Diceros bicornis minor: one gene and its partners. The protein of the gene in region 2 purifies or fractionates together with the protein of the main gene of each other region. This does not show direct contact. Links are inferred from orthologs where the notes say so. Each region holds a gene or a part of one and is shown on either strand. Other genes may lie near its edges.

The links.
Region 1: the proteins of OCRL (region 2) and AP2A1 purify together in Homo sapiens (affinity purification with mass spectrometry; 3 studies listed by BioGRID and IntAct, counting the BioPlex papers as one, with this or other methods). This does not show direct contact. The link is inferred for Diceros bicornis minor from reciprocal best matches to the Homo sapiens genes OCRL and AP2A1.
Region 3: the proteins of OCRL (region 2) and SNX9 purify together in Homo sapiens (co-immunoprecipitation; 3 studies listed by BioGRID and IntAct, with this or other methods). This does not show direct contact. The link is inferred for Diceros bicornis minor from reciprocal best matches to the Homo sapiens genes OCRL and SNX9.
Region 4: the proteins of OCRL (region 2) and PHETA1 purify together in Homo sapiens (co-immunoprecipitation; 5 studies listed by BioGRID and IntAct, counting the BioPlex papers as one, with this or other methods). This does not show direct contact. The link is inferred for Diceros bicornis minor from reciprocal best matches to the Homo sapiens genes OCRL and PHETA1.

The regions. Positions count from the first base shown.
Region 1 is NC_080773.1:25,130,124-25,137,641, reverse strand, and holds the start of AP2A1 (AP-2 complex subunit alpha-1), read right to left. Parts: upstream 3,012-7,518; 5' UTR 2,898-3,011; coding exon 2,831-2,897; intron 1-2,830.
Region 2 is NC_080781.1:118,337,334-118,344,709, reverse strand, and holds the start of OCRL (inositol polyphosphate 5-phosphatase OCRL), read right to left. Parts: upstream 3,015-7,376; 5' UTR 2,877-3,014; coding exon 2,838-2,876; intron 2,579-2,837; coding exon 2,499-2,578; intron 1-2,498. UniProt on the Homo sapiens protein: Catalyzes the hydrolysis of the 5-position phosphate of phosphatidylinositol 4,5-bisphosphate (PtdIns(4,5)P2) and phosphatidylinositol-3,4,5-bisphosphate (PtdIns(3,4,5)P3), with the greatest catalytic activity towards PtdIns(4,5)P2.
Region 3 is NC_080778.1:11,700,936-11,708,844, forward strand, and holds the start of SNX9 (sorting nexin-9), read right to left. Parts: upstream 3,010-7,909; 5' UTR 2,893-3,009; coding exon 2,881-2,892; intron 1-2,880. UniProt on the Homo sapiens protein: Involved in endocytosis and intracellular vesicle trafficking, both during interphase and at the end of mitosis. Required for efficient progress through mitosis and cytokinesis. Required for normal formation of the cleavage furrow at the end of mitosis.
Region 4 is NC_080774.1:9,662,189-9,669,601, forward strand, and holds the start of PHETA1 (sesquipedalian-1), read right to left. Parts: upstream 3,006-7,413; 5' UTR 2,880-3,005; intron 2,406-2,879; 5' UTR 2,334-2,405; intron 2,326-2,333; exon of another isoform or gene 1,995-2,325; intron 1,453-1,994; 5' UTR 1,382-1,452; intron 567-1,381; 5' UTR 441-566; intron 1-440. UniProt on the Homo sapiens protein: Plays a role in endocytic trafficking. Required for receptor recycling from endosomes, both to the trans-Golgi network and the plasma membrane.

The DNA of each region.
Region 1 (7,518 bases), on a different chromosome or scaffold from region 2:
ACGGCTGAATAGTATTCCACTGTGTGGGTGTCCACATTTGTTTATCCATGCATTCGCTGATGGACCTCTGGCTTGTCTGCGCCCACTTTTTGGCTATCGTGAATAACGCTGCTCTGAACATCTGTATTCAAGTGTTTATGAGAAGAACAGTTGCAATTTTAACGCTGTACCTGTCTCCCTCATGGGGCTGGGAGCTTCACGGGGGCACAGACAAGTCTGTCCTATTAATCGCTGTGTCCCCAGAACCCACGATAAGGCTTGAAACATACCAGCCACTCAACATACACTTGATGAGAAAAGGATGGACAAGAGACATCCCAATACTCTAGCCTCAAATCATTTGGCTAGATGACCTCCACTGTCCCCACGTCGGGGTCTCCACTCTGTCCTCTGGCTTCCCTCTGTGTTCTCTTTCCTCCTCCACCCCCATCATCTGATCCCTTTGCAAATCCTTCAAAATTGATCCCAAACCCCACCACGGCTCACCACTCCCTTCTCACTCCAGTCAGGCCAACACCATCTCTCACCTGGACGCCTGCAGTGGCTCCCTGATGGCTTCCCCGCTTCCGCTCCTACCTCATGCATCTGTTCTCTTCACAGCAGCCAGAGGAATTATTTTAAAACATCAATCAGCTCATGTCCCTCCTGTGCTCAAAAGCTTCCGGCCGATCTGGTTTCACTCAGAGAAAGGCCAAAATGCTCCCTGTGGCCCACAAAGCTCTGTCCCCTCCCTGCCCTCATCGCCTACCCTCTCTCCCTTGACTCCAGCCACACGGCCCCCTTGCTCTTATGTGAACACCCAGCGTGCTGCGACCTCAGGACCTTTGAACGCACTGTTCCCCTGCCTGGATCCCTCTTTCCCCCCAAATCTGCAGGGCTCGCCCCCTCACTTCACTCAAAAGTCTCTACTCAAGTGTCACCTCCCTGGCGAGGCCTTCACTGACCACTCTCTCAATCCTGGTCCCTCTCCTCTGCTTTCCTTCCTTATTTTTCTTCACAGCACCAGCCACTGTCTGACATTGTACCAGTTATTACCTACACTGTGTCATTGATTGCCTCTGGTCTTCTGTATTTTCTAGCTCCCTGATGGCATGGGTGCTCCCAAGGGCAGAGATTCTCGTCCACTGTTGGAGCCCCAGTCCCTGGAATAGTGTCTGGCACACATGGTGATCACAAAGTTCTTGTTGAATGAATGAGTGAATGAACCTTCAGAGACCAGATGGTGTTATGAATGGAGTCTGCAGACCAGGAAACTGAGCCTCAGAGAGGTTAAGTGACGTGCCAAGGGTCACATCCCTGGTAGATATCAGAGGCAATACACACGTGCTCCTAACAGCTGGCCCCCTACCGAGTCCACAGCCCCTCGGAGTTCCAACTCTTTTCATAACAATCATAACATCTCTCCTCCCCTACACCCAACAGTTTCCACCTCTCCTGTTCCTGGAGCATCTACTACATGCTAGATCCTTCTATACCTACTAAATCCTAAAATAATCATTGAGCACCTAACAGAAGCCGCTCCTCGGAGCCAGCTGAATAACAAGAACCATAGCCAAGATCATCTAGTGCCTGGAACGTGCGAAAGGCCTTGGTCACACACATTATCACAACAACCTCATCAGGAAGGTGTGATCAGCGGTCCCTCCTGACAGAGGAGGAAACCGAGAGGTGAAGGCCCTCATTCAAGGTCACGCGGCTAGGCAGTGACAGCGCTCCAACTCAAACCCAGGTCTGAGTGACCCCAAAGCCAGTGCGGATACGGCCTCTGAAGCTCTTGGCAGCTTCAAACACCAACACCCGCTCCCAGGAGTTGGGAGCTGACTTGGCGCCAGGCCTCCCATCATCACGATGATCCTTCCTGCTGGTGATCACTGTCCCCACACTCATGTGGCCAGATGGCAGAGGGCTCCAGATTCAGCATTGTCCTGCTCCCCGACCCCTGACCTTTCTCTGGGACCAGGCTTCCCCCACCCCCCAGCTTTCCAGATCCCTTCCCCACAAATTCCTAAGGCCCCCTTGGCCCCTTCTTTGAGCTCTGGGCTCTCCCCCTTCTGGCACACCCCTCAAGCCCCCACTTTATAATGTCCCCACCTTTCCAGGCCCCCAGCTGTCTCACGTTCTCCCAAGACTCTCCATCTGCAGCGCCTCGCTCTGTGCTCCCTGAGACCCTCTCTTCCCCTCAGTAAGCTCGCTAGCCCCCTCTCCACTGCCCTCCATGTCTCCTAAGCAATCGTCCATCCTGGAGCCCCTCTACTCCTCGCCACGGTCCCCCACCTTCCCATCTCTCCTCCCCAAGGCCCTGGGACTTTCTATCACTCCCAGGCCCTCTCTATGCACTAGCCAGTGACCTATCTAGCCCCTTCCCCTCTATGACAGCCCCTCACCCAGGCCCTCAAGCCCGGCCCCATTAGTCCTCCGGGTCCCTTGTGGCCTCCTCCCACTCTATCGCTCCACAGGGTACCCCGCACCCAGGATCTCCTGCGCTTTCTATCTGTATCAGGGATTCCTCGAACCCCATCGCTCAGACGACCCCCCAGCCTTTCTATCATTCCCAGGGGGACACCTCTACGCCCCCATCCCCGGGACCTTAGTAGCCTCCTCTCCTTTAAGACCCTCCCGGACGCCTCCAGCCACTCCGTGTCGTCACCCCCAGAGGCACTCTGTGACACCCCAAGCCCTTTCAGTTCCCCACCCGAAAGTTGCCCCGGGGGCCTCTCTATCCGCTCCCTCTATGATCGCAATGGCCTTCTACCCCCCGGGCCCTTCTGTACCCCCGGAACCCCTCAATTGCGCGCGCCCCCCCTCCAGCGTCCCCCGGCCGCGCTCTCACAGTTCCGGATGTCGGAGATGAAGACCGCGAGCCCCCGCATCCCATCGCCCTTGGACACGGCCGGCATGATGGCGGTGGTGTCGGCTCCAGGCCTGGCCGGGCAGGGCACAGCGCAGCGGGGGCTGGCAGGCGGGGACCGGGAGGAAAGGACCCCAGGCAGCGCCGAGGAGCCGAGCCGGCCGCGGGGGGAGGGCTGGCTGGCGGGCGGGCGGGCTGGCAGGCCGCAGCTCCGCCCCCGGCCCCTCCCCTCCCCTCCGCGGTCCTGAGCTCTCAGCGCCTACTGGCTCGGAATACTGCCGCTTATCCCCGCTCCCTCTCTCATTGGCCGCTGGACAAAGGCACGCCGCTACGATTGGCCCAGCGCCCCGCTATTTCCGTTCGGGCGGGGGGAGGGGGCGTTGCCGGAGAGACAGGCGGAGTTCGGTTACGTACTGTGGGACCGCCCCCTCGGCGCGGCCGGGTCCGATACTGATTGGATCCGACCTCTCTACTAGAAGGGAGGGATTGACGTGAAGGAAGGCGAGGGAGCGGGCTCGAGGAGGCGGGACTTGCGTTGATTGGGGCCAGTGGGCGTGTAGATCGCCCCCGTAGGCGTCGCGGATTCGCCAGGCCTGTCCTACTCCCGCCCTCGATTGGGCGGTTTTGGGGGCGGGAGGAGGGCGATGATCGGTAGAGAAGGAAAGAGAAGGGAGGTTGTCACTCAGCTGGGCTGGGATAGGTGGAGCGACGCCTGCAATTCCCTGCTGCAGAGAAGGGGTTGGGAGGGGCCAGAGAGCATGAAGCGTTTACTGCGCCAGCGTCCCTCTGTTCCTCTTTCTCCCTCCTCTCCTCCACCCCGACTCCTTAAATCTTCTTCCAAGAAGACTTCCTTTTCCCCTACCCCTCCCTTGCTTAGCAGCCAAGATGTCAAGACCTAACTTGTCAGGAGACCAAGAATCCGAGAGTGGAGGAAAGAGTAATTCAAGTCTAGTCCCATTAAGCAGAGGATAAAACTGAGGTCGAGAGAGGCCGAGTGACTTGCCCAAGGTCACAGAGCTCGGAAGTGGCAGAGCCGCAATTTAAACTATACTTCGGCTTTTAACCACTCGTCAATATACAATGCCTTTTTTTTTTTTTTTGCAACCATATCGCCATTATACAGATATTAAATCAAAATTGCGAGTCCCTCCTCCAGCAGACTTGGAGATCCTCCTGAGCAAGAATGGGACCCGGGGAAGAATGCTAGTTAAAAGGAAGGAATAGGTGAATCCGTTTTGTTTGGCCCAACAACCACCCCTTGGCGCCCCAAAGACCCCATGTGCAAAGCTGACTGGCTTTTGGGAAAGCAAAGCCTCCGGAAAACAATGCCCGGGGGTATTGAGAAATTTGGGGCAAAGGGAACTGGAAGAGTCCATTTCTGTCACCCCCGGGAACTAAACCCCACCCACCCTTTTCTAATCTCAGAAGCCTATTATTTTTGGAATGAGCCTTGGGGGAGTGTCCTGGATCCTGGCAACGTCCACTCTGAATCGTAGGGGGATGGGGATGAGGGCGAGAAGAGCCCACCTTCCAGGTTCAATGGATCTGTCCATTTGCTTTTCCAGGAATGGGGCTTGGGAAAGTCCATTCTGGATTCCGGGAGGACAGACATCGCTCAGCTGTTTTAGTGACCAGGAGAGTCCATTCCTAATATGGGTTTGGGGGGGGGTGCTGTCTGCCACTGAAAAACATAGAACGGCCCCATTAAAAACAACCACAAGAAAAATTATTAGGACCGGGAGTTAGAAAAAGTGGTTTTTATGGAAGAGACAGTAAGCTTTCCAAGGACTGGAGGAGTCCATTCAGGACATAAGAAGCACTTTCTCCCTGAGGATAACGCCGTTAAAATATATATATGAGTAGTGGGGTGCGGACTAACACCCAGAGTCCCAAGAACAGGCAAAGTCTGTCTCAAGGGAAGGGGGAAAGCCACCCTCTTCCCCGCCTCAACTCTCCACCTCTCTCCCACCCACCACCTTCAACCCTTCGCCCAGAGCCCACCTGGGGCCAGATGGAGTTAGCTCTGCGTTTTTGTTGTGGGGATAAGGACGTCCTGGTTCTAAATCCTGTCATGGGCGGGTGAGGGGACTCAGTCCTCTCCCAACTCCGTCTAGAGCCCATGAATTAGCCGAAGCTTAATTTTCAAGCTTGGGCCTAAAGCAAAGGCATTCAGGGGTCTAATGAGTCAAGGAAGGCCGACTTCACCTTCTGGAAAACCCTGCGACTGCGATCCTGCGTGGGAGTGGATGCGGCGCCCCCCCCCCCCCCCCCCCCGCAGGAGCTTGCTGGCTGGCTCCTGTTGAATTAGAGCAGTGCCTACCAATAGAAATACAGTGGGAGCCACATTTATAATTTTCCATTTACTCCAGCTACGTTAAAAGAAAAAGTACAAAGAAAAAGTGAAATTAATTTTAGTAATATATTTTATCTAACCCAATAACCCCAAATATTATCATTTCAACATATTTGACATTCTTATTTTCCTAAGTCTTTGAAATTGGTGTTTTATACCTATGGCACATCTCAGTTGAGACTTGCCACATTGCAAGCACTCAGTAGCCACAGGCCATTGATAGTAGCTGTGATATTGGACGGCAGAGAGTTACAGGACTGGATTTGAGCAAGAACATTCTGGGACGCAGGGGCTGACCTACTGCTAAGTTTTAAGACCAGGCCATGAACAAGTCCATGTTTGGGGGTCAAAATGAAGTTTGGGCAAGTCTTTTTTGGTTTTAAGGTGGAGCATTAAGGGTCCGGCTCGGCTCGGCCCGGCCCGGTGGCTTAGCGGTTAAGTGCGCGCGCTCTGCTGCCAGTGGCCTGGGTTCGGATCCCGGGCGCGCACTGATGCACCGCTTCTCCGGCCGTGCTGAGGCCGCGTCCCACATACAGCAACTAGAAGGATGTGCAGCTATGACAGACAACTATCTACTGGGACTTTGGGGGAAAAAATAAATAAATAAAATCTTTAAAAAAAAAAAAAAGGGTCCGGCTCTTTGGCCTAGTGGTTAAGTTGGGTGTGTTCCGCCTTGGCAGCCTGGCTTTGGTTCCCGGGTGCAGACCTACATCACTCGTCGGTGGCTATGTTGTGGCAGCGACCCACATACAAAATAGAGGAAGATTGGCATAGATGTTAGCTCAGGGTGAATCTTCCTCTAGCAAAAAAAAAAAAAAAAAGGAGCATTAAGAAGGAGCCCCAGAACAACTGAACAACAAAAAAACAAAGAACCCGATCAAAAAAATGGGCAGAGGGGGCTGGCCCGGTGGTGCAAGCGGTTAAGCGGGCGCACTCCACTGTGGCGGCCCAGGGTTCGCCAGTGCGGATCACGGGTGCGACCCGATGCACCACTTGGCAAGCCATGCTGTGGCGGCATCCCATATAAAGTAGAGGAAGATGGGCATGGATGTTAGCCCAGGGCCAGTCTTCCTCAGCAAAAAAGAGGAGGATTGGCATCAGATGTTAGCTCAGGGCTGGTCTTCCTCAAAAAAAAAAAAAATGGGCAGAGGAAATGAACAGACACTTCTCCAAAGAAGATATACAGATGGCCAGTAGGCACGTGAAAAGATGTTCAACATCACTAATCATCAGGGAAATGCAAATCCAAACCACACTAAGAAATCATCTTACACCTGTTAGAATGGCTATAATCACCAAGACAAAAAACAACAAACGCTGGAGAGGCTGTGGAGAAACGGGAATCCTAGTTCATTGCTGGTGGAAATGCAAACTGGCACAGCCTCTATGGAAAACAGTGTGGAGATTTCACAAAAAATTAAAAATAGAAATACCTTATGACCCAGCCAGCCTGCTACTGGGTGTCTACCCAATGAATCTGAAATCAACAACCCAAAGAGGCTTATGCACCCCTATGTTCATCGCAGCATTCTTCACCATAGCCAAGACATTGAAGCAACCCAAGTGTCCCTCGACTGATGACTGGATGAAGAAGATGTGGTATATATACACAAAGGAATACTACTCAGCCATAAAAAAAGACAAAATTGTCCCATTCACAACAACATGGATGGACCTTAAGGGTATGATGTTAAGCGAAATAAGCCAGAAAGAGAAAGACAGACACCACATGAGTTCACTTATAAGTGGAAGATAAACCAACACACAGACAGAGAGAACTGTTTGGTGGTTACCAGGGGCAAGGGGGGTGGGGGGCGGGCACAAGGCGTGAAGGGATGCATTTATATGGTGACTGACAAACAATAATGTACAACAAAAATTTCACAATAAAGAAAAAAAATTTCGATGTCTCTGTTAGCTAATTACTGAAAAATTTGGCTAATAGGATTTGAGGAAAAAATAGCTATATTATATATTTTTAAAAATTTTAGCAATCATCTTACCCTCCAATAAAAACACTCCATCTTCTGTGAAAAAAACAAAAAAACGAGAGAACCCCAGAAGCCCCTTGAGGAGCTCATGGGTTGAACCACCAATAACTTCTAAGACTTTGACCTGAGCAAATCATTTCTTGATTTTTCTCCAGAAGAACTGGACTCATCCCCAGTCTTCCCATTTTGGCAAATGGGCCCTCCATCAATCACCCAGGCACTCTTGCCAGACTCTTCCCTGTCCCTTACCCCAAACCAAGGCCAGAACACATCCGGAAGCAGCCCCCTCCCTCCATCACCACTGCGTCGCCCATGCAGGCCACCAT
Region 2 (7,376 bases):
CTAAGTATGCAAATTCTACCTAAATGTAATCATCCCTTTCAGAACAGAAAGATGAAAAATAATAGGTATATGGCAAAACAATGGAAATCAGAATTTGGTAGCTGTCAAACAGAAACGAGTGACAAATTGTGAATGCAGACTCAGCATTATCCTTAGGAAATACTTTGATTTGTTCAAGGAAGGTTAAAGATGAAACAATAGGTTGCATCATAATCCATTTTCCTTGAAAAAAATGAATGTTAGTGTTTGATTCCCTGTTTCCAAAAAACCAATTTTTAAATGTAACGGTGGTCTCTCAAGTAAATTTCTCCTATGGTTGATAGCAGGAACCACAGAAGTAAAGATTAAAATAGGCTTCAAGTTCTAGGATAAAAAAGCCAAAAGTAGGGCCCGACCCGTGGCTTAGCAGTTAAGTGCACGCATTCCACTGCTGGCAGCCCGGGTTCGGATCCCAGGAGCACACCTATGCACCACTTGTCAGGCCATGCTGTGGTGGCGTCCCATATACAGTGGAGGATTGGGACGGATGTTAGCTCAGGGCTGATCTTCCTCACAAAAAAAAAAAGGCCCAAAGTAAAAATGTTCTGGACACTCAAGTCAGAGAAGGCACCCAAGAGACAAGAATTTCAGGATTATAGATGGTACGACAGTATTAGGTGACTCCGATGATTTCAAAAGAAACTTCTCAGACAATGTAATCCTGAGATACGTTACATGGGTTCAAATCTCAGCTACGCTACTTCCTAACTGTGAACAAGTGACAACCTCTCTGTGCCTCAATGTCTATATCTAGAAAAGGAAGTTGACGATGATATTACTATTTCACAATAACCCTCACATGAGGGTTAAATGAACTAACTCATGAAAAGTGGTGAGAAGAATACCTGGCACACATCAAGCCATTAAGTGTTAGATGTTGCTGTACTCCCATAACTTACAAAGAGTTGGAACAAAAGAATTTGATTTCTCTGTGAGGAGGACACAAATAGTCAGGAGAGCTACCACCCTTTAAAAGTTCTAGTACAAGAGTCCAGATAGAATGAGGTATTTATCTCAAGGCCAATTGCTCACTCCCTTATTAGCTAAACAGAGTTCCAAATATACTGAGCCAAGGGACCAGATCCCAAGCTATGGTCATATCAACAATGTAGCTATTTTATTTAATCCTCATAATTTTGATTTTAACAGAAGAGGAAACTGAGGCACAAAAGTTTACTGATTTGCCCAAGGGTCCCATCTCTCTATCCCATTCTAGCCTTTGGAAGCCGCAGCGGTGTTCCGCTTTTCAATTCACTTTTCTGTTAAATTCACTTATATTAAATGGGTCTTTCAAGGTTTGATGAAATCTGGGAAACATAATATGAGTTTCCCACATCAACAGAACTGACCAAGCAGGACCTAGGGAAGAGCGACTTCACAGAATCAGTTGACATCCAGTTAGAGGCACCAAGAGTCTTAGAAAAGGGCAGGATAGGCCAGTGGGAATTTCTTCTGTGTAAATTAGACAGCATAGACACAGACTCAGTCTGGACAAACTAAAAGCGGGAACCGAGAAAAATTGTTTTTAGGCAGAATCCAATGTTGGAAGATGACAGGATTTAAGTGATCAACAATTTTTAAACTCTGATGTCAAGAAACCAGTGAACAACCAAAGGAGGTGGCTTGGGCACACAAGGATAGGGGCCTATGATATATAGTGGTCACCATGGATACTTTTAAGATGAGGCATTAGTTGCAAGGGAGTGAGATCAGTAACTATAGTGATAGCTTATCAAAATAATCTTTTGATCCATCAGCCAACAGTATTTACTGAGCTCCTATGTGCATGCAAGGCAGAGTGGAAGTTAACACACACTGATAAAATGGCAAATGTCGTTTATATTTCTACATATTTCATTACTTTTTCTAACAGTCAAGTCAATAAGTGAGCAGTTACTAGCCTACACTAAACCATTACTGAATTAATGAATATGCCTTCAAGCAAGTGGAATAAAGGGGTTGGGAGAGTGGAGGAACCAGTTGAATGGGGTTAAGAAAAGGCACTAACATAAGGTTAATGAAGCGTTTCCATAGCACTTTTACTTTTTGTAAACCACTTTCACATTTATTATTCTCCCAGTTAAAACTCCAAAGGCTATAAGGTAAGGCAGTTAGTTAATGTTTTCATTTAACTGATGAGGACACTAAGGCCCAGAAAGCTTTATTGACTTGCCCAAGGTTACACAACATGTGTCAGTTGCAGGGGCAGGAACAAAGAACCCAGGCTTCCTGCTTCCCCGTCCATTGAGTCTTTCCACTGAGCAACACTGCCAGGAGAAATCTAGCAGCGTGGAAGTTGGGGACAAAGACCCGTGGTTAAACCACTTGCACTTCACACCTTGGCCTGAACCTGTTGCCCGCGCGGCCTCAGTGGGAGGAGGGTGGGTGGCTTGTCGCGGTTTGCGGTTGCGAGGTAATGGCAGGCTCCCCTCCTCTGTGGGAATCAGGTGGTTACTTACTCATATTGCCCGTTCCTCTGGGCTAGGGTGAGAGCGCAGGGCTCCCGGAGAGGACCCTTCATCTCCATACCCTCGACAGTATGCGGACGCTAGTCAAGGGTCTCTTCTAGAAGCTCAGCCAGGGAGGGGTGGCGCGGTGTGGTGTGCAGGGAGGCTTTCGCCCCGCTGCCCGCCCCGGTCCCGGTCCCGAGGCACTGCCTCCCACGCCCGCCTCCCTCCCCCGCTCGGCTCGGCCTCTGGGCCTGACCGCCCCCGATCCCTGCGCCGCGTTCCGCAATCTCTCCGACCCCCACCCCCCACCCTGCGCGGCCTCCCCTCCCCCTTCTCTCGGGCGGATACGGCAAGGGGCTGGGCTCCGACCGGGAGCGGCGGCTCCATCCGGGCGGCCTCCGGGCTCAGCCGGACTGCGGACTGCGGCCGGATCCGACGACTCTGCGTCCCCCGTCCTCACAGCCACCCGCCTCGGCTGCGCGTCGTGTGAGGAACGGCTCCGCGCCGGGAGCCGGGAGCCGGGAGCCGAGAGCCTGACCCGAGAGAGAGCGGCGCCTCGCGCCCCCGCCAGTTTTCCAGGCCGCCGCGGATTCCGCCCCCTGCGGCCAACTTGCGGAACTGCAGCGAGAGACCCGACGGAACGGGGGCGTCTCAACCATGTCCAGCAAGGAATATGTTTCAAATGCTGCCTGTGACACCAAAATTCTTCTGGGGACTTTGAAGATTGCCACAGAAACAAAACACAGTCATACCTATGAGGGAACTCAAAGGTGTTGGGCCAATAAGACCCACATCATCCATTCAAAAAATCCTTATTATGGTTATAATGCACCGTGCTGGTTATCCTACCTCTCAGATGTTCTCCCCTTCCTCTTCCTTTCACCCGCTAAATCAGAAAAGTCCTCAAATCTCAGACCTTTACCCTTCTTTTGCGCCCCCTCTAGGTCACCTTTCTTCCTCTCTCCTAATTTCTCTGTATCCAATCAGTCAAAAAACCTTGTTAATATTTTCTTTGGAATTAATTTTTGGTTCCTTGTTTTCTCTCCATTGACACCGCCATCATTTTGTTAGCCTTTGTGATATCCCCTTTGACCATTTTACATAAGAATATGTACATAAGTTTGGCAGTGGAACTTAAGCACATGATTTATGACATAAGTCATAAGAATAGTCTTCCCAGAGTAACATTTCAATTGTGTTTTTCATTTGCTCAAGAATCTACAATGGATTAGCTATCAAGACTGATTTTAAACCTATAGTAATTAAGACAGTGTGGTATGGAGCTAGGCAGACCAATGGAATAGAATACAGAGCCGCAAAACAGACCCACACATATATGGAAAGTTGATATGCAGCATATGCAACATTTCAGATCAGTGGGGAAAGAGTGGATTATCCACTAAATGGTGCTGGGACTCTTGATAATCCATATGGAAAATTATAAAATTAGATCCCTACCTCACACCATAGAGGAAAAATTCAATTCCAGGTGGATTCAAGATCCAAATGTAACAAGCAAAACTTGACAACATTTAGAAGTAAATAGAATATCTTTATGAACTTGGAATAGGGAATGAAAATGAATAGACAGCACAAAAATAAAGGAATCGATTGATACATTTAACTATATTAAAATTCAAGACAACATAAACAAGTTAAAATACAAACCATAGACTAGTAGAAGATATTCTCAATGCATATAACTGACAAACATAGCCTGAGGTTCTACACTTCTTGCCATCATCACTTTTCTGACATCCTCTCCCACCACTCTCTCCAACTCATGCTGCGTAGTCACACTGCTCTTTGCTATTCCTAGGACTTGCCGAACACATTCTTGCCTCAGGGACTTTGAACATGCTGTTCATTCTGTCTGCACTCTCACCTCCTTCAGATCTTCGCTCAAATGTCACTTTCTCAGTCAGGCCTTCCTAGACAAATTTATTTAAAATTGAAGTTTGACAATCTCCTTTCCCACTCCCATGCACACATGCTCCCTATCCCTCTTCCCTGTTTATTTTTCTCCAGAGGATATATCTCTATCATTGTTCTATTTTATTTATCAATTTTGTTTATTGTTTACTTTTCCCCACTAGAATGTAAGTTCCATGAGGGCAGGGATTTTTGTCTGTTTTGTTCATTGCTGCATTCCCAGTGCCTAGAACTGTTCCTGAAACAAAGTAGATGCTATAAAAATATTGATTAAATGAATGAATTAGTATCCAGAACGTGCAAAAACCCCTATAAATCAATGAGAAAGAAACCTAGTAGAAAAATTGACAAAATATATGAGTAAGTAATTCATAGTCAAGGAAACCTAAATGGCCAGTAAAGACATGAAAGGATGCTTCACTTCATTACTATTCAGGGAAATTGAAAATTAAAACCATGAGATACCATTTTGCAACCATCGGTTTGGTTAAAAATTTGAAAATTCAGACAACACCAGGTGTTGTTGAGGATGTAGAACAGATAGACCTCTGATCACCGCTAGAAGGAGTGTAAGTTGGTAGAACTACTATGAAGAGCAATTTGACATTGTATAATAAAGTTCTATAGGTAATACCCTTCAGAAATTCCATTTCTAACTACAGACTGGGCAAAATTCTAACTGTTGTGCACAAGGAGTCATGTAAAAGAATGTTCATTGCAGCATTATTTGTAATCTCAAAAAAATGGAAGCAAATTAAATGTCCATCAGCAGGTGAATGGTTGAATAAATCATGGTATTCATGAAGTTGAATACTATTTTAAAATTAAAATGAATAACACAAGCTATATGTATTAACAGAGTTAAATCTCAAAAATATAATGTTAAGCATAAAGAGAAAATTGCAAAACATGTACGGTATGCCGTTTATATAAAGTCTGAAAATATTATCTGTTGCTTATGGCTACATAGATATACATAACAGTAATAGTATATAAATCATGAAAGGGCATGATCATCACCAAATTCAAGGAGAGGATTGAGACTGGAGAGAGGAATACAGGGAATATCAACTGTATCTGTAATATTTATTTCTTTAAAAACAATCTGAAAATTGATGTTGCAAGATTTGATAGAACTGGGTGGTAGGTACATATATGGGTTATGTTATTCCATGTACTTTCCTGCATTTTAAATTGTTTGTAATCAATGAAAGTGAAAAACAAAGAAATAATACGTAGAGGAGGGTTAGCTGTGTCAAATGCTGAAAACAGGACAAGGAAAATGAGGATTGAGAGACTTTCTTTGGATGTGTCAAGGAGTTCACTGGAGACTGCTAAATAAGTGGTTTCAATAACTGGTGAGGGTAGAAACAAGATGACAGGGAATTGAGAAGGGACTGTATCCTGAGGAAATGGAGACAAGAGACCACGTATTGAAGAAGTTTGGAAGCAAAAAGGAGTGAAATACAATTTTAACTAAATTAGTTAGAAGGGTTAAAGAGAAATTCTTGACAAAACTTGAAGTTACTCTAAAGCAACGGGAAGGAGCTAGCAAAGAGGGGGACATTTAAGGTACTAGAAGAGGGAAGCAGAAAGGTTGCAAGAAAAATCCCTCAGTAATTGGGAAGGACAAGGATCCAAGGTGCAGATGGAGGAATCAACCTTAGAGAAGAGGAGAGGTAGTTCTTCGTCCAAGTCTACAGTATCCCCAGCACCTGAAACAGTGCCTGGCATATAGTGGGGTACTCAAATATTTGTTGTAAAGCATAAGAGGTTGTGAAGACATGGAAATGTATTGAGGTGAGGACACTAAAAACTGTGGAGAAACTCTCACAGGGTAGTTGATGATTTTCTCAAAAAAAATTAATAAGTGTATGTAATAACAATAATAATAATCCTGGTGGCTAACTGAATATTCATGTGACACTCTCCTCATGGCTTTACATACATACTTTCATTTAATCCTGACGAAATCCCTGTAAAGTAGTAATATTATTGTTTACACTTTAAAGATGAGAAAACTGAGACTCAGAGAGGTTTAGCAACTTTTGCCCATTAGCTAGTAAATGGCAGAATCAGGATTCAAACTTATGTTTGTCTGACTCCAAAGCCCGAGGATTTTAACTAACACATTACGCTGTTCATTCAATATTAACAGTAGTAAGAGTAAGTGTTTATTTAGAACCTTCTATGTGCCAGGCACTATGGTAACTGCTCTACCTGAATTATCACATTTAATCTGATGAAATTGAAGTTAACAGTAGAGGGTTTGGGAACTTGAATAAGGCAGAGAAGGAGAGAACAGGCACTGTTGGAGACTGACAGTGAATCCAGAAAAGTTAATAAAGGGTTTTAGAGCAACAGAGAAAGCCCACCTGGAGGCAGATGGTGTGCATTTCTATAGTGGTCCAAATCAGCATGGGTCTGTAACTTTCTCTGGCAATGCTTGGCAGATGGAAAGCAGGAGTAGAGAAAATCTACCAAAAAAGTGCATTAGGCTTGGGAATTAGTACAGCAGGCAGAGAAGAATGTCATGGGGCGAGGGAGTCTAAAGTGGTGTTTAGGATGCATTGAAATAGCTGACCCTGGAGTCTAAGTTGGGTAAAGATATGTATCCCCTCAGCCTAGGGCCAGCAGAGGGGAGGAAGGCAAGCTTGGCTAATTTAATCATTTCCCTGGGCCTGATTCTGTGGCAAATTATTGTATCTGCTTTTTTGGGATCACTTCAGGGACTATGCTTACTTATGTGCTTCTGTACATGTTAAGTCACTTTTGTAAATTGGCTAAAAATTATTTTATTCACAACTGCTTTCTGATTTACCTGTTGTTCTTAGTGATACCACTATTTAACTAGTCACCCAAGTTTGAAACTTGAGGTTTATCCTGAACTCTGCTTCTCCTTTACCTATGATATCCAATAACCCAAGTTTTGTCAATTCTATAGTAAATTTTTAC
Region 3 (7,909 bases), on a different chromosome or scaffold from region 2:
TCATGCAACAGTATTTTCCTACCAGTATTTTCAACATTCCACACCCACTTAATTCAACCAGACAAGCACTGTAACACAAACATACAACTTCAGATGTTGGAGCTGGAACCAAAAGTTAAAAAAAAAAAAAAAAAGCAACAGTGACTCCTAGAATCCTGTTATAATGATTACACCTAAAAGTGACTATGTAAGCACAAAAGGATCCAAATTAGTTACCAAAGGTCAAGTATGACATGGAAATGACAGCCAAATTATATAGCTATAGATTAACTCCCACTGACTATTTTCTTCATGTACCTTTTGATATATATGGGCAAAAAAAAGAATTTCTTTCCCAAGACTTAATAAAACAATTTACTCCTAAATTCACCATACGACTGTGTTGAAATAACCTTGAGGATTCTAGTAGAAGTCAAGACTTGACACACTCCCATGAGCCTTTTGCTGTATTTGATAAACGAGATAAGACTGGACTCAGAGTGACGAGACACTCACAACTGAATTCAGCACTCTCCTGAGTAACGATTAGAAACAAAGAACAGATAATCCCTTTAAAATGTGCAGTTACTGATTAACCTTCTTTGGCAGTGAAGAATTGCCAATTAAAGTTTTTCTTCTAAAAGATCCTTTCTTTCTGTTGTGAATGTACCAGTGGAGTTTTTAAAAAATCATGATAGTTCAAAGATAACTGCATCTTCAGGAAAATAAGTAAGGACAATAAATAAGAAAATTACATCTCAAGAGAACTGAAGCATTCTCTAGTAAATTCAAAGGGAAACCCAACACCACCTAAAATAACCAGATATTGTATTTATTTCTCATCACTTGAGGCAAGAGCCTGACTGCCATATAAGTCTTCAATTTTATAAAAAGTTAGACTTTATTACTTACTAAAAGTACATTCCCCCCATCTACCTAATTAAAGAAAGGAAAGAAAAATACCCAAACTACTCAGATGTCAGTAAGGGCAGGGGGTAAGGTGGGGGTGGGGACAACTTGACTCTCTGGGAACAATTAAACTGAAACTTTTGGTTTGACACAAGACTCACCAGGAACTAGGAAAACCAGAAAACTGAGGAAGGGTCCTTAAAATGCTTCTTTGCTCTGCCCTTTTTTTTTTTTAAGACTGGAAGTGGTTTGTTATAATGTAAACATGAAAATGAGTACCATGTGGAATAGTGATTAGAAAAGGGAAAGAAACTAAGTCACAATTCCCGGACTTGCCTTCAGAGTAGTGTAGATAACAACGGAGGAAGTGCTGACACACGCTTTTAAAGCTTGTGTTTAGTGAGGACACGTGCAATTCAAGTTCAGTGCAAGAGCCACTATCCTTTTCAATTTTAAGGAAAAATGAAGTTCAGGTTTAATTATCAAATAAAATGTGCATTGTGTACATCCGCAGTACTTGCTAAGCTGGGTCCCACTTACGGGACAGTACATGTAACATGCATGAGTAGATCAGAGTGCAAAATACCACAACAATGACCACCACAGAATAGATATCTACCACAAACAGCTTTTATGGTTGCAAAATGAGTGTAAAACAGCACGTGTAATTGGTCATTTCTGGCATGTTGGGCAACAAACCTCAAAATCAAATTTCCTTAGAAATCCTTGGCTGAAGTTTTGTTTTTCAAAACATCAACACAAAATTATATATGTTAAAAAGGCAGCAAATTCTACCACATCTAATAAAACCAAGGAAGAGCATAGCCAATAACACACTAACAAGGTGATTATTTCAGTAACAGAAAGCAACAGGTTCCCTGGAGAAGAATCTCCCATTTTTTCCAAATCAACACTGCACACCTAGACAGATCCAGAGTACAAAATTTAATAGACTGAAATGGTATCAGATGATCTAATCTTTCAAAGGGATTTCAAATTTATCACTTTCCTAAGTTATCTCTACTAAAAACACAAACCCAACATTCAAAAAAATTTACGATTTTCACTAACCCAAAAGCTTAGAGATTTCAAAAATGAGTATGGAAGAAGGTGATGTTTACAAGGTGACATTACAAAAACTATTTGCAGAAGTCACTCCATGCCTCAAACCACATCCCCAGCTCCCTGGAGGGTCTCCCACTTCTAGTCCTCACTCAGTGACTGTGGCTTTCCCTAACAGTGACTGTTTTACATCAAAAACTAAAGAAAACGCTCGAGGAAAGGGCGAGGGGGCGCGTGGCTCCTGCAGACTCAGGTAGCAAAAGCGACCGCTAACTGCACGCACAATCCCCCGAAAAAAGCAAACCACCACTCCTGGCCAATTACAAGCGCGAGTCAAAGTTCCACCACGTAATTCGGGCCTGCGCCTTTTTTGGGGGGCAAACACGTTACTGAAAGCGCAGTCATTTCCCCCTCTGTGGTTTATTCATGCTGGAAATACCAGTCAAACTGAAAAGGGAGCAAAACAAAAGGAAATAAAACCAGAAAAATGAAGGAAGTGGAAGCGCGGGGCGTTCAACCGGCGTCCGTGCTCCGGGGCCTGCACGGAAAATGCCCAGTCTTCGCGGGCGGGGGTCGCGCCCCCAAACCGGCCCGGGGGGCTGGGGTCCCACCCTCCGGGGGAGGGAGGGGACGCTCCCGTCCGCGGCGGCCGGACGTGCGGGGCGGCGGGGAGCGGACGCCGCTCGGGATGGACCCGGATACTCCGGGGTCAGCGCGGCTCCCTCCCGCCGGGCCGCAGCCCACGCGCCGCCGCAAACTTTGCAGACGGCGCCGCGCGCGCCCGGCTCCCGCCCCGCGCCCCCGCGCGCGGCCCCCCAACGCCCGAGCCGCGCGGGGCCCGAGCCGCCGGGCGCTGCGTGCGCCGCCAGCGGCCCCTCAGCCTCCCCGCCGCGCGCCGGCCCGAGCGGGCCTGCGCCGCGCGCCCCTCACCTTGGTGGCCATGGCGGGCGGCTCCCCGGCCCGGACGGCCGGCTCGTCTCCCGCGCCGCGGCTGCGGCCCGCGGCGGGCGGGCGGGCGCGAGGGCGGCGGCGGCTACGGCTGGGCCCCGGCGCGGCGGCGGCGGCTCCGCCTCGGCCCCGAGTCTCGGCGCTCGGCGACTCGAGCCGCCGCCCGCTCCTCCAGTTCCTGAACCTCCCCGGCTGCGCGGCCCCCGCCCCTGCCGGCCGAGCCGCCCATGGACCGCGGCGTGCGCGGCGCGGCCGGCGGAAGCGCGCCCGGTGCCCTCGGCCGGCCCGGCCTCCTCGCCCGCTTTCCGCCCCCGCCCCGCGCCTCCGCCCCGCGCCGCGCCGCCGCCCTTTGTCCCAGCGCCTCCCCGAGGGGCGGCCGGGCCGGGGTCGGCGCCCGGGGCACGGCTGCCGCGGGGCCCGCCCGGGGGCGTGGGGACACGCTGCGGGGAGCGCCCTGCCGGGGACTCGCCCCCACGGCCGCGCTCGGCGGGAAGCTGGCGTGCGTGACGCACGAGGGTGCGAGCCTAACCAGCGCACGTCCCCCGGCCGGCAGCGGGTCCCCGACGGGGATCTTTGTCCCGGGTCGGGAGCGCTAGATGAACAGCCGGGACGGAGCGGAGCACTGACTTTCCAGTCCGACTGCCCCTTCCAGGAGGTTCTGCCTCCAGCCTGGAGTGACCGCGGCCTGGCATCCCGGCTGGAACGTCTGGGCCCCGACGCCTGGGGATTTCAGTCTGAGATGTCCGCTTAACCTCCCTTCTGGACGCCTGATAAATCTCAAAGCCCCAGGGCCCCAGAGGTTTGGAGGAGACACAACGGGTTTCCAGAAGTGGAAATGAGAGGTCTACCATTTTCCTTTTTTGGTCAAAATGTCTTCAAAGTTGGATATATGCGTTTTATTAGTAACTGAATGACTTAAATGGAGCAGCAAGATTTTCACTCAAGTACAAAAAACATGGCTGGAAGATATATCTTAGTATATGTGCTACCGAGGCGAGCAGAGAGATATGTCGTGTTAGCCTAGTACATTGTTTTTATTACCAGGGATAGATATCTTGCAAATCAAGTCAACTTTATTAGACTAGGAAAGTGGTAACTGTATTTAGAGTTAATGTCAAATTTGTGTCCGCTCGAAAATACTCCATTTGACCTCCAGAGACTTCACTAGTTACATTCAACAATGGGGTTTAAAATGGATATGGTGCCTCAGAATTTTCTGTGAATTTTTGTGTTTGCTGAGCTCATAGCTAAAGCTATAGTCATCATAACATTTATAAATAGCTGTCTTTCTGAGTAAAAGGAGAGTTGGAGACTAATGTTCATTGACAGCCTACTTGCTATATATGAGGCTTTTCCATGCCTTCATCTCATTTAATCCTTTTAAAAAACGTTTGAGAAAGTCATTATTGTCCACTATTTACAGATGTGAAGAAATCAAGGCTCACTTAAATAACTTGGCTGATTCGGTAATACTTCAATACAACATTGAAGATGACCATAACCTTGGACCTAGCAGCTCTTCTAGGAATTTATTCTGCTGTCAGACTTGCATAAGAGAGCAAAGATGTTCAGTAAAGCATTGTTCTGTAATACCCCAAACAGAAAGCAACCACTATGTTTATTAATAGGACTGTTTCAATAAACATGGTACATCCGTACAAATGAAATACTAGGAAGCCCTTTAAAAACTGGTAATATTCTTAAAAGTGTTAACAAAGATAAGAAGAACGTTATGTCTAGTACAATACGTTTGTGTAAAAAATATAAAAATATGCCTGGAAAATTCCTGAAAAGAGTCACCAGATGCTATTGTCAGGATTTTTGAATATGTATTACTTTAACTATTTTAAAAAATGAGTTTACATTTTAACAAACAAATATCTTGACACACACTAGTATGTGGAAAAGCCAGGATGTGAACTCAAGTAATACTATAAGTAGTGGGTTTTCCATATTCTTTTAAGTTGGAAAGCTGGACACAGCTCCCTGCAGCAGGTCAACAATGCATGATTGATAGGAAGGTACAAAGTCAGAGTCACTCCTGTGACCTGTGCCTTTCTGCACGCTCAGTTGACAAGTGCTGGGCAGCCAATCACCCTTTGCCCCTGGCCCCAAGAGAGCAAGAAGACCCGGCCCAAGCTTTTCCTACTTGAACAATTTCTGTAGCCCGGGTTCCATTTTTAGAAGCAACCGTGGAGACACCAAACTCAGGATGACCACTGCAAATCAATATAAATAGTTAAATAGAAGTGAAATCATTACCTATAGTATTGAAGGAGTAAAAACCCCGTGGCATTGTTTATAGAGCCCAGAGAGTAGTCACTGACAATCCTCAGGTGAGCCTAATCCCCAGCTCCATCTCATGCCCTCCTCTCAGCTCTGCTTCCGCCACACTGGCCTTTCACTGCCTCCTGTCTCCTGAACATCACACTCCCTTCCATGCAGAGGACCAAGACTGGCTTGTGGGGTGCGTCACCTGTGCAGTCACGCAAAGCCTCGTTCTTAAGTGGACCCCGCGCTTGCTTTAATGCTCTGCTCTCACCGTCATTAAATTCTTAATGGTTTTGAACCAGGGGCCTCCCATTTTCGTTTTGCACTGGGACTCACAAATTACGTTGCTTATGTTGTTACTTTGTCTGAAATACCCAACACCCACCAACCATCCACTCACCCCCCACCACACCCACACACCAGCTAATCTCCCTCTCATCCTTCAGAGCTCCCGTGAACTGTCACAGAAGTTACAATTCCTCAGGGAAATCTTCCCTGCTCCCAGTCTAAGTCAAGTTTATTGATATAAGGTCTCAGAGTACTGGTTTCCTTGCCTTTGGAAACTTCTCTCAGTTTGTTATTCATTGGAGCAACTGTCTGCCTGCCTGCCCCATCAGACTGTAAGTAAGTTAAGGAGAGGAGGCTCTGAACCCCTGTCTCGCACCTGCTCCTGGCACCACACCTAGCTCAGGGTAAGCCACCACTAATCCTTTGTGAAATGAATGAATAAATGAATGAACAAGAGGAGTTGCAAATCACAAACTAAGCAATATGGCATTTGCCTGAGTCTACTTTTAAGCAACTCATAGGATTCTGTGGAACACATCTGAAAACCACTGTCTATCATTATCTAAGTTAATGTGAAATGCTACAAGTTTTATTACTCAATAATATCCTGTTTTTTAAAAAATATTCTTTGGAAATGTTATTCCCTTATGATAACATTTTATGAAATAATGTTGATTTTGACTGGAAAATTGAAAATAAAATTGCTAAATTTAGCAGTATTTACTGGAGATGTAGTGCCCAATTCATTATTAAAAAAGGCAATATGGGGCCAGCCCAGTGGCGTAGTGGTAAAGTTTGCACACTCTGCTTCGGCAGCCCAGGGTTCTTGAGTTCAGATTCCAGGTGCGGACCTACACACTGCTCATCAAGCCATGCTGTGGCGGCGTCCCACATACAAAATAGAGGAAGATTGGCACAGATGTTAGCTCAGGGACAATCTTCCTCAAGCAAAAAGTGGAAGATTGGCAACATATTTTAGCTCAGGGCCAATCTTCCTCAACAACAACAACAACAAAATTCAATAAGTGAAGATTTTAATTATGTTTAAGATCTCTGTAGCGTGACCACATTGACGTGCACATCTCATATGTACTTTATATTTGTTGGTTGGTGTTTGTTTGTCTTGGAAGTAACTACCAAGTGCATGGGATTATAAAATGCCAGTCCTCTCATTTATAGGGGCAGAAATGAGACCAAGGGAGTTAAATGACTTACCCATGGCCACGAATTAAGCCAGAGCAGGGACAAGAGCCCACTTGTCTTATCACAATTCTCCAAAACATTTCATTTTCAAACTAAAAATATTTTAGGTGAGAAGTTTGAAGGGAGTTTTGTGAAGGTCAAGACAGTCATTGCTAAAACAGGACAAGGACTCCTGTCCTGAACTGTGCTGCGAGCCACCCACCCACACTGAAAGAACAGCAGAAGTGTGACATCCTTTCATCTCATCTCACGAAGTCCACCCGCCCAGAGGAAGAGTGGCTTCTCCCAGTCTAGAAAGTTGACTTCACTCAGATAATCATGAAGGGTCCCGGGCAAAGTTGGGAGTCTGTCTTCTGCTTCCATTTGATCACCCATTCACACCTCTTTCTTCCCTCCCATCCATTGCCCTCCCATCTACCTCCTTCCTCTGATAGGCTTCCTCAGAGGTGGTGCCTAACACAGGCTCCTTCAGAACCCAGAACCCCGGCACTGAGCCCAGCACACGCCACGTTCAGTTACTTCCTCTACGGCCTGAGTTTCCATTACTCCTGTTGGTGAGACCACAATTGATTTGCTCAGAAATTTTTGCATTGGCAGACCAAGATTGCACTTTCAAAAGAAGAAAGAGCTGCAGCCAGGGCAACAGAACTGCTCTGTTTAGGGTTTGCCCTCTTTTCATCAGGCCAAGGGAAATGGAGTGATAAGGATTCCCAGGAAGCCTGTGCTAGTGACACAGCTGGTGGCACAAGGAAAAGAATGTCCATTAACTCTTGCCCTGGGTTTGTTCAGTAACGGTTAGGTGTTATAACTCTACACTTATGAAGTTAAAGCACTTTTGTTTTAACTGCGGAAATTAATAACTTAATGGTCATGACTCAGAAACTCTCTAGTCCAAACATTTTTTCACAGTGAAATGATAGTTTTTAAAATTCGTCTTCTAAAAACTTGAAGTTTCTTAGATACAGCTATAATGGTTCAGCAAAACACAAATACAGACCCTTTCCTTTTTTCTCCCTTCTTCCTTAGGGGCACAGACTTTCCTGTTGACAGATCTGAATTCTGTTACTTACAAACCATGTGATCTTAGTACATTACTTAACTTCTCATCCTCAGTTTCCTGAACTGCAAAATGGGGATGATAATAGTGCCTATCTCATGGGTTTGTTGTGTGGGTTAAACTAGATCATGAGCTCAAAGTACTTAGCATGATGTTTTGTACATAATAGGCACTCAGTGCATATTAGTTATA
Region 4 (7,413 bases), on a different chromosome or scaffold from region 2:
CCCTGAGGAATGAGGTATGGGTGGTGGCTCTCCTGGGAGCAGCTGGCCACAGCGGGGGCCCAGCCAGGCAACCTGACCCAGGGCAGAGAGGGCGATTGCTCCCTCGTCTCACCTGCCTAGGCAGTCAAGGAAAGCTTCTTGGAAGAGGCAACATAAGCCGTGATTTAGTTGCTGAAATCAGCCTGTCCTGACCTAGCAGCCAGGCCAAGGCCAGAGCCCTTGAAGGCTCAGGGTGTTTAATCTCTGCTCTGCCTCCCTGAGCTGTGTGACTTCAGACACGGGCCGCCCCTCTCTGAGCCTGAGTTTCTCTCTCTGCAAAATGGGACTCATGCATTCCCTCACACCCCCAACAACTCCCACGGGGACCTGGCCCCATGTCTCACAGGGACCACCCACCCTACTCGCCCGGTTTCCCTCCCACCTCTCAGGCCACCACTTACCTCCCTGCCCTCTGCCCAGCTCTGGGCTTGGCTTGCTCTTCTCTGGGTTCCAATGTCAGCTCTGTAGTGTTCAGGCTGTGTGACCCCGGGCAAGCGTTAAGCCTCTCTGGGCTTCTGTTTCCACATCTGTAAAATGGGATCGTAACAGCACCTAAGTCGGGGTGGTTGTAACAATGACACAATGACTACATAGAAGCAGCGAGCATGGGGCCCAGCAGCCGGTATGTGCTCACCGGTGGTAGCTGTGGATGGTCTTCTTGGCCCCCCTAAGTGCTCCTCTCAGCGCTGTCTCAGCAAATGGCCCTCGGTTCCCCCCACCCCACTCTGATCACTCATCAAGTCCAGTCGATCCCCCCTCCAACCTCTTCCAGATCAGTGCCCTCCTCTCTGCCCGCTGCCACCTCATTCCAGCCCCCATCCTCACGTGCCTGGATGGCTCGGTAGCCCCTTCACGGGTCTCCTGCTTCCATCCTCGCCCCTTCCCCGTCCACGTGCCTCAGGGCAAGATCCTAACTCCTCCGCAGGCCCCTGCCCTGGCCCCACTGAACTCCATTCCCCACCGGGAGACTCCGTTAAAACTACATCCAACACACGCCTCCTCCACTGGGAACTCTCCCACAGCTCCCTACTTCCCAGTATCAGATGCAGTCCTCCTGGCGGAGGCCTCCCAGCGCCCTTCCCCACCTGCTTCCCCCTGCTCACTGGGCTCCAGGGCCCCTGGCCTCCCTGCTGTTCCTCAAACACATCGAGCACACTCGCACCTCAGGGCCTCTGCCTTGGCTGTTCCCTCTGCCTGAAACGCCCTTCCCATACCTTCACATGGCCAACTCCTCATCTTTCAATTTCAGCTTGACTATCACCTCCTCAGGCCAGTTCCCTGACCACCCTGTATACAGGGACCCCCCTCCAGGTCACTCTCCTGCACCCCAATCTGAAATTACCTGGGTCATTTTTGCCTGCTCCAGGAGGGCAGGGGATTCCAGCGCCCGGCATGTAGTTGGTGCTCAAACACCTATGGAATGAATCAAACAGTTACCTTCCTAAAGCTTTCACCAGCCCCTGAGGGGGGTCTGTGCTCCATCCCGCATTCACAGCATGGAAGCTGGCACACAGAGAGGGCAAGGAACTTGCCCTGAGGCACAGGCTGTGCCCGGAGTCGCATGCTCTAGGCAGCCAGCCCAAAGGGGCTGCTCTTGAGGTCTCTTCACCCCATTAAGGCCAAGAAAAGAGCGATGCCCCTCACGCCCAGCAGCCCCCCTCCCCCTACTGCCCAAACCAGGCCAGCCCGCCCAAGGTCACAGGCGCATAGGACCCGTCCTGCCCCTGGCCCCAACCCAGCACGGAAGGGGGCAGGAAGCAGCAGGCGCCCTCCGGGAGGGCCTGGGCCCTGCTTATCTCCCCACACTCATGCTGTTTTCCAAGAAGTTCAGAGTCCGCTGATTTAACCGGCCGCGGCCAGGCAGGAAGCTGGAGGGGGCCGGCCCCTCTAGGTCCCAGGGCCAAGTTCCCGCCTCCACCAGTCCAGGCTGGAGGGCCTTGAGAAAGTCACTTCACCTTTCCGAGCCTCAGTTTCCTCGTCTGTCAAGTGGGCTGTGGAGAGGATGCAATGAGCTAAAACGAGGACAACCCACTGGCAAGCCATGAGAAAGGCACCAGAACACCCGGCTGTGAGTCGGGGTTCTCACAGCCCTGTCTGTCAAATGAGAACGTTAATATCCACCACTCCGGGAAGGGTGGGATAAATTAATCCTGAAGAGCCATTTTGCAAAATGCTTAGCAGGAGGGAGCACACTGAAGGAAGCTGTCCAAAGGGCAAATAAGTAGCTCGAGGTCTCACAGCTGACCCAGAAACCAGGACTTGAGGAAACTGAGGCACGGCACCGTGGCACTCACTTCCAAGAAAGAAGCCAGATCCGCAGGTCCTGGCGGTGGAATCCCGGCCACCAGTGTCCCCGAGCAGTGGGCCTGGGGGAGAGGGTGGGTGTGGCAGGCACAGGCAGAATAACACGTGCCCAGAGCGCCTGTCCCGGGCCGGGGCCCCGGGGACCAGGAGCCCCGCAGGCTGGAGGCAGCTCCGCTGCCCACCGCAGAGGCTGGTCCTCCAGTCTGGCCCTGCTCCCGGCTGCCCCGTTCCTTTGTGTGGGGTGTTTCTCAGAGGACAGCCAGAGCCCCGGACGGGGGTCAGCGGCAGCAGGTGGGAGCAAATGGGGGCCTGTCCGCAGAGTCCCTAGCGACCCTATGGTCCCCTATGGGGTCGGGTCATCGGCCAAGTCCGCGGGGCAGAGGGGTCCCGAATGGGGAAATTACACCGGCGAGGAGGCGCAGAAGGGCCGATCCCCGTCTCTCCGGACGGCCGGGGACCCCGAAGCCCACCCACGGCGGCGCGACCCGGCCCCGCGGCCCCCGCGGCCCCCCGCAGGTCCCCCCGGCCGGCCTTACCTCGCGGCGCGGCCTAGGGCGGCGGCGGCGGGACGGGAGGCGCGGGGCCGGGGGGCGGCCCGGCCATCGCCCGGGACCCGCTCGGTGGCGGCGATCGCGGCGCGGCTTTGTCTCCCGGGTGGCCGGGCCGGCGCAGCCGCGGGAGAGCGCGGGTCGGACGGAAGGAGGCGGGGGCGGCCGGACACTCCTCGAGCCCCGGGCGCGCCCCTTTAACCCTTCCCGGCCCGCCCGCGCCGGGCCCGCCCCCGCGCTCCTCCCGCCCCCGGATTGGCCAGTGCCGGCCTGGCCCGCCCCCGGATTCGCCACGCCCCCGTGGGCCCGCCCCCGGAACCACTCTTAAAGAGACCGCGACTGGTTCAGGAATCGCCAGTGCCCTATTTCAGGAAAGGATTCCGTCCCCGAGACTCGACGCGCTTGCAGGCGTCAGGACGGGCGGCGGATTCGCCCGGAAAAAGTCCTGGGCAGGGCCTCTCGCCGAAGCCCTGGGGCCTGGAGTCCGAGCTCCGCCCTGCTGGGGTTGGCGGATTTAGCAAATTTAATGCCCAGCTAAATTTGAAAAATAACTGCTGAAAGTTTGTGGTTTATTGAAAAAAGCTGAATACACGACATTTCGGGCGTTCTGAGAAAGTCAACAGACGACTGTACTATATGTACCGGACGCCTGGCGACCCTGCCCCTTGTCCCAGGTGAGGAGGGAAAGTTCTGGATTTGGCAGGCTTGGGGTCAAGTCCCGCTAAGCCGTTTAGTCACTTCACTTCTCTCGGCCTCGGTTTCCTCGTCTGGAAAATAAAGACAGTCATCGTGTATCAAGTTCATGGCACACAGGAGGGGCTCTCAACAAACAGGGATTGCTGTATCTTTTTGTTCTACCCAAAACAACACAGCTCCACCTCCCTGGTCCTGTCTCTGCTTCCTGCCCTTGCGCCTCCCCAGCACCCTCCTCTGATGGCAGGGGAGAACAGGACAGACCAGGATCATCTATTCATCCTATGGCTGCTCGCTGAGCACCTACTGTGTGCCAGCACTGTTCCAGGCAGCGTTCCTGAATCAGTCAACAAACAAACAAGATGAGTTCTACAAGTGATTCCTGTTAGGAAGACTCAGCCATGGCAGTGGGTGGATTTTAGACACGGTGGTCAGGGAAAGCCTCTCTGAGGAGCAGAGACCTGAAGGAAGTCAGGGAGGGAGCCATGTGGCTGTCTGGGGGAAGCGTGTCCCAGGCAGAGGGACCAGCAAGTGCAAAGGCCCTGAGATGGGACCATCCCAAGCATGTTGGAAGAGTAGAGAGGAGGCCAGTGGGGCTGGGGCTGAGAGAGCAAGTGGGAGAATAGTAGGAAATGAACTCAGAGAGTTCAACCTGGCAAAGCCAGGTTGCTTAGGGCCTTGTGGATCATGGGAAAGATTTTGCTTTTACTCTGAGAAGAATAGGGAGCCACGGGAGGGTTTTGAGCAGAGGAGGGACATGATCTGTCTTAGGTTTAACATGGTCCCTGGCTGCTATGGGGAGGGTGGACTGTAGGGAGCAAGGAGAGAGGCCAGGAGACCAGGAAGGAAATTATTGCAGTGGTCCACGCAGGTGATGATGGTGGTTTAGAGCAAAGCAGAGGCAGTGGAGGTGGAGAGAAGCAGTTGAATTCTAGAGCCTGCCTGATAGTGAAGCCAGCGTAGAGGAAAGTAGGGCCAAGACCCAAGACGTGGAGAGAGACAGATACCTGATGATATCTGATATCTGCTGCACTCCTGGATCCAGTTGTACCTGATGCTGCCATAATTCCTCAGCCAGGAAAGGCAAGCTGGAATTTCCCCCAAATCGAGATGCTTCCCAGATGAGGAAAATGCCAGGCACAAGGGCATTTGGGCCGTGGTGTGGGGAAGATTTCCCAGAGGTCTGTGAGGCTTGGCTCTCAGAGCCCCTCCTGCTGGAGTCAAGGTTTGACATGGGTGGAAGAGGCAGAAATCAGAGCGAGGGCCTGGCATCTTTTTTTTCTTTTATTCCTTATTATTTATTTTTTTAATTGAGGTGAAATTCACATTAAAAAATTAACCACTTTAAAGTGAACAGAATGTATAACGTGGTGACTAGGCTGATGACAGTACAGTTCATCCACGTTACAGCACGTGTCGTGCCTCACTCCTTATGGCTGAGTCCTATTCCACTGTGTGAAGGGACCACGTTCGTTCAGCCTTTCATCCGTCGACGGACATCAGGTCATTTCCACCTCGGGCCACTGTGACTAGCCGAGCCTCTCTGTGGCTGGGAACTGGAGTGGGCTGGAGAAGGGCCGGGGGTTCAGAAGGACTGGATGGAAAGAGGGATTTGGGAACCAGGACTGGCTCGTGGCCACCATTAGCAACCCTGAGGATGTTACACCAAACCGGGTCTCGAGTCCGTCGCTTCTCTAGCTCTGCCACGGCTTCCCCGCTCCAGGCCGCCGTCGTCTCTCGCCAGGCCAGCCGCGGCGGCCTTCCCTCAGGTCTCCCTTCTGCCGCTCTGCCCCTGTACCCCCTGAATCCCTTCTCCACTGAGGGGTCCTAGGAGAACTGGAGTCAAATCAAGTCCTGGCACTCTCCTGCTCAAAGCCGTTCCGTGGCTCCCCGTTGCCTCAGGAGCAAGTCCAGATTCCTCCCCACGAGGGAGAAGGCCCTGCTTGTTCTGGCCTCTGCCCACCCCTCCAGCCTCCTCAAGCACGGTTTCCCAGCCCCACTCCCTCAGCTTCCCCACCTGGCCTGCCTCTCTTCCCAGAATGCACCGTGCTCCTGGCCTTTGCACATGCTGATCCCCTTCCAGGACTCATCCTTCAAGCCCTCGCTCAGCCACTGTCGCTTCCAGGAAAGCATATGACCCCCAGCCCCACCCCACTGAATTGAAAGCCTTTGTCTCCTCCAGTGAGTCATTCTCTCAACCAACATGGATCAAGCACTACTGCATCCCAGGCACCAGGCATACAGGTTAAAGACAGACAAGTACACGCATGTTCACAGCAGCACTGTTCACAACAGCCAAAAAGTGGAAACAACCCAGGTGTTCATCAACAGACGAATGGATAAACAGAATGTGGTCTATCCACACAAGGGAATACTACTCAGTCATGAAAAGGAATGGGGTATTGAGGCACGCTACAACGTGGATGGACCTCAGAAACATCATGCTGAGTGAGAGAAGCCAGACATAAAAGGGCCAGATGTTGTCGGATTCCATGTATATGAATTATCCAGAATAGATAAGTCCATAGAGATAGAAAGCATTTTGGTGGTTGCCAGGGACTAGGGGAAGGGGAGAATGGGAAGTGACTGCTTAATGGGCATGGGGTTTAAAAAAATGGGTACCGGGTTTTACTTTGGGGTGATGAAAATGATGGCTAGAGGCGGTGGATGCACAACTGTGTGAATGGACTAAATGCCACGGAATGGTACAGTTTAAAGTGGTCAATTTTGGGGGCCGGCCCGGTGGCACAAGCAGTTAAGTGCACGCTCTCCGCTGCGGCCGCCCAGGGTTCGCCGGTTCGGATCCTGGGCTCGTACCAACACACCGCTTGTCAAGCCATGCTGTGGTGGCGTCCCATATAAAGTGGAGGAAGATGGGCACGGATGTTAGCTCAGGGCCAGTCTTCCTCACAAAAAAAAAAAGAAAGAAAGAAAGTAAAGTGGTCAGTTTTGTGTCACGTGAATTTCACCTCAATAAATTGTTAAAAAAAAAAAAAAAGGACCAACACGTGCTCCTGCCCTCCCTTCCCAGGCAGAAAAAGGTGAAGCAACATCTACAGTACATGAGACGAAGTTAGGAGTCAAGTAGGAAAATAAAGCAGGGGAGAGCATGTGAGTTGTGAATGAGGATGGTGGACTTGCCATTTTAGCGAGGAGGGACCGGGGAAGACCTCCCAGAGAAGGTGCATTTGAGTAAAGACCTGAAGGGAATGAGGGCACAAGCTGTGCAGATATCCAGAGGGAAAAGCATTCCTGGCAGAGGGAACAGCAAATGATACGTTTCTTCAGAGGCAAGAAACGTATCAAGGAGGCCAGTGTGGCTGAAATAGAGGGAGTGAGGGGAGGGATGAGATCAAGGAGGCCTGTGGGCTTTTCTCAGAAGGCTGGGAGGTGAGGAGGAACTTGCCAAGGAGGTGAGAGGGCACAGGAGGTAGGAGAAAAACCAGGAGAAGCCAATAGCAGGTGGCGTTCCTGGGTTTGATGACTGCCTAACCCTCCCGTCTGTTAGCAGGTGGGTCCACGAGGGCAGGGAGCCTTGTCTGCTTTGTTTCTGCTGCGTCTCCAGTGCCAGGCACAATGCCCGGCACATAGTAGGGCAGCGCTCCCAGGAGGGTGCCCGCAGGACCCGCCATCTTGCATCCGGATCTCGGGCTCCAGTCCCGTCCTCTGATCCCCCCCTTCGCTCGGCCCCCAGCAGGGACAGATGGTCGTCCACGCTGGGGTCTGAGGTTGCGTTTCCTTCCATGGTGGCCGCCCCACCCCAGACCCAGCCAGCCCCAAGAGGGAACTGAAACTCGCCTCCACCACAACACTGGCCCAGGCCACACGC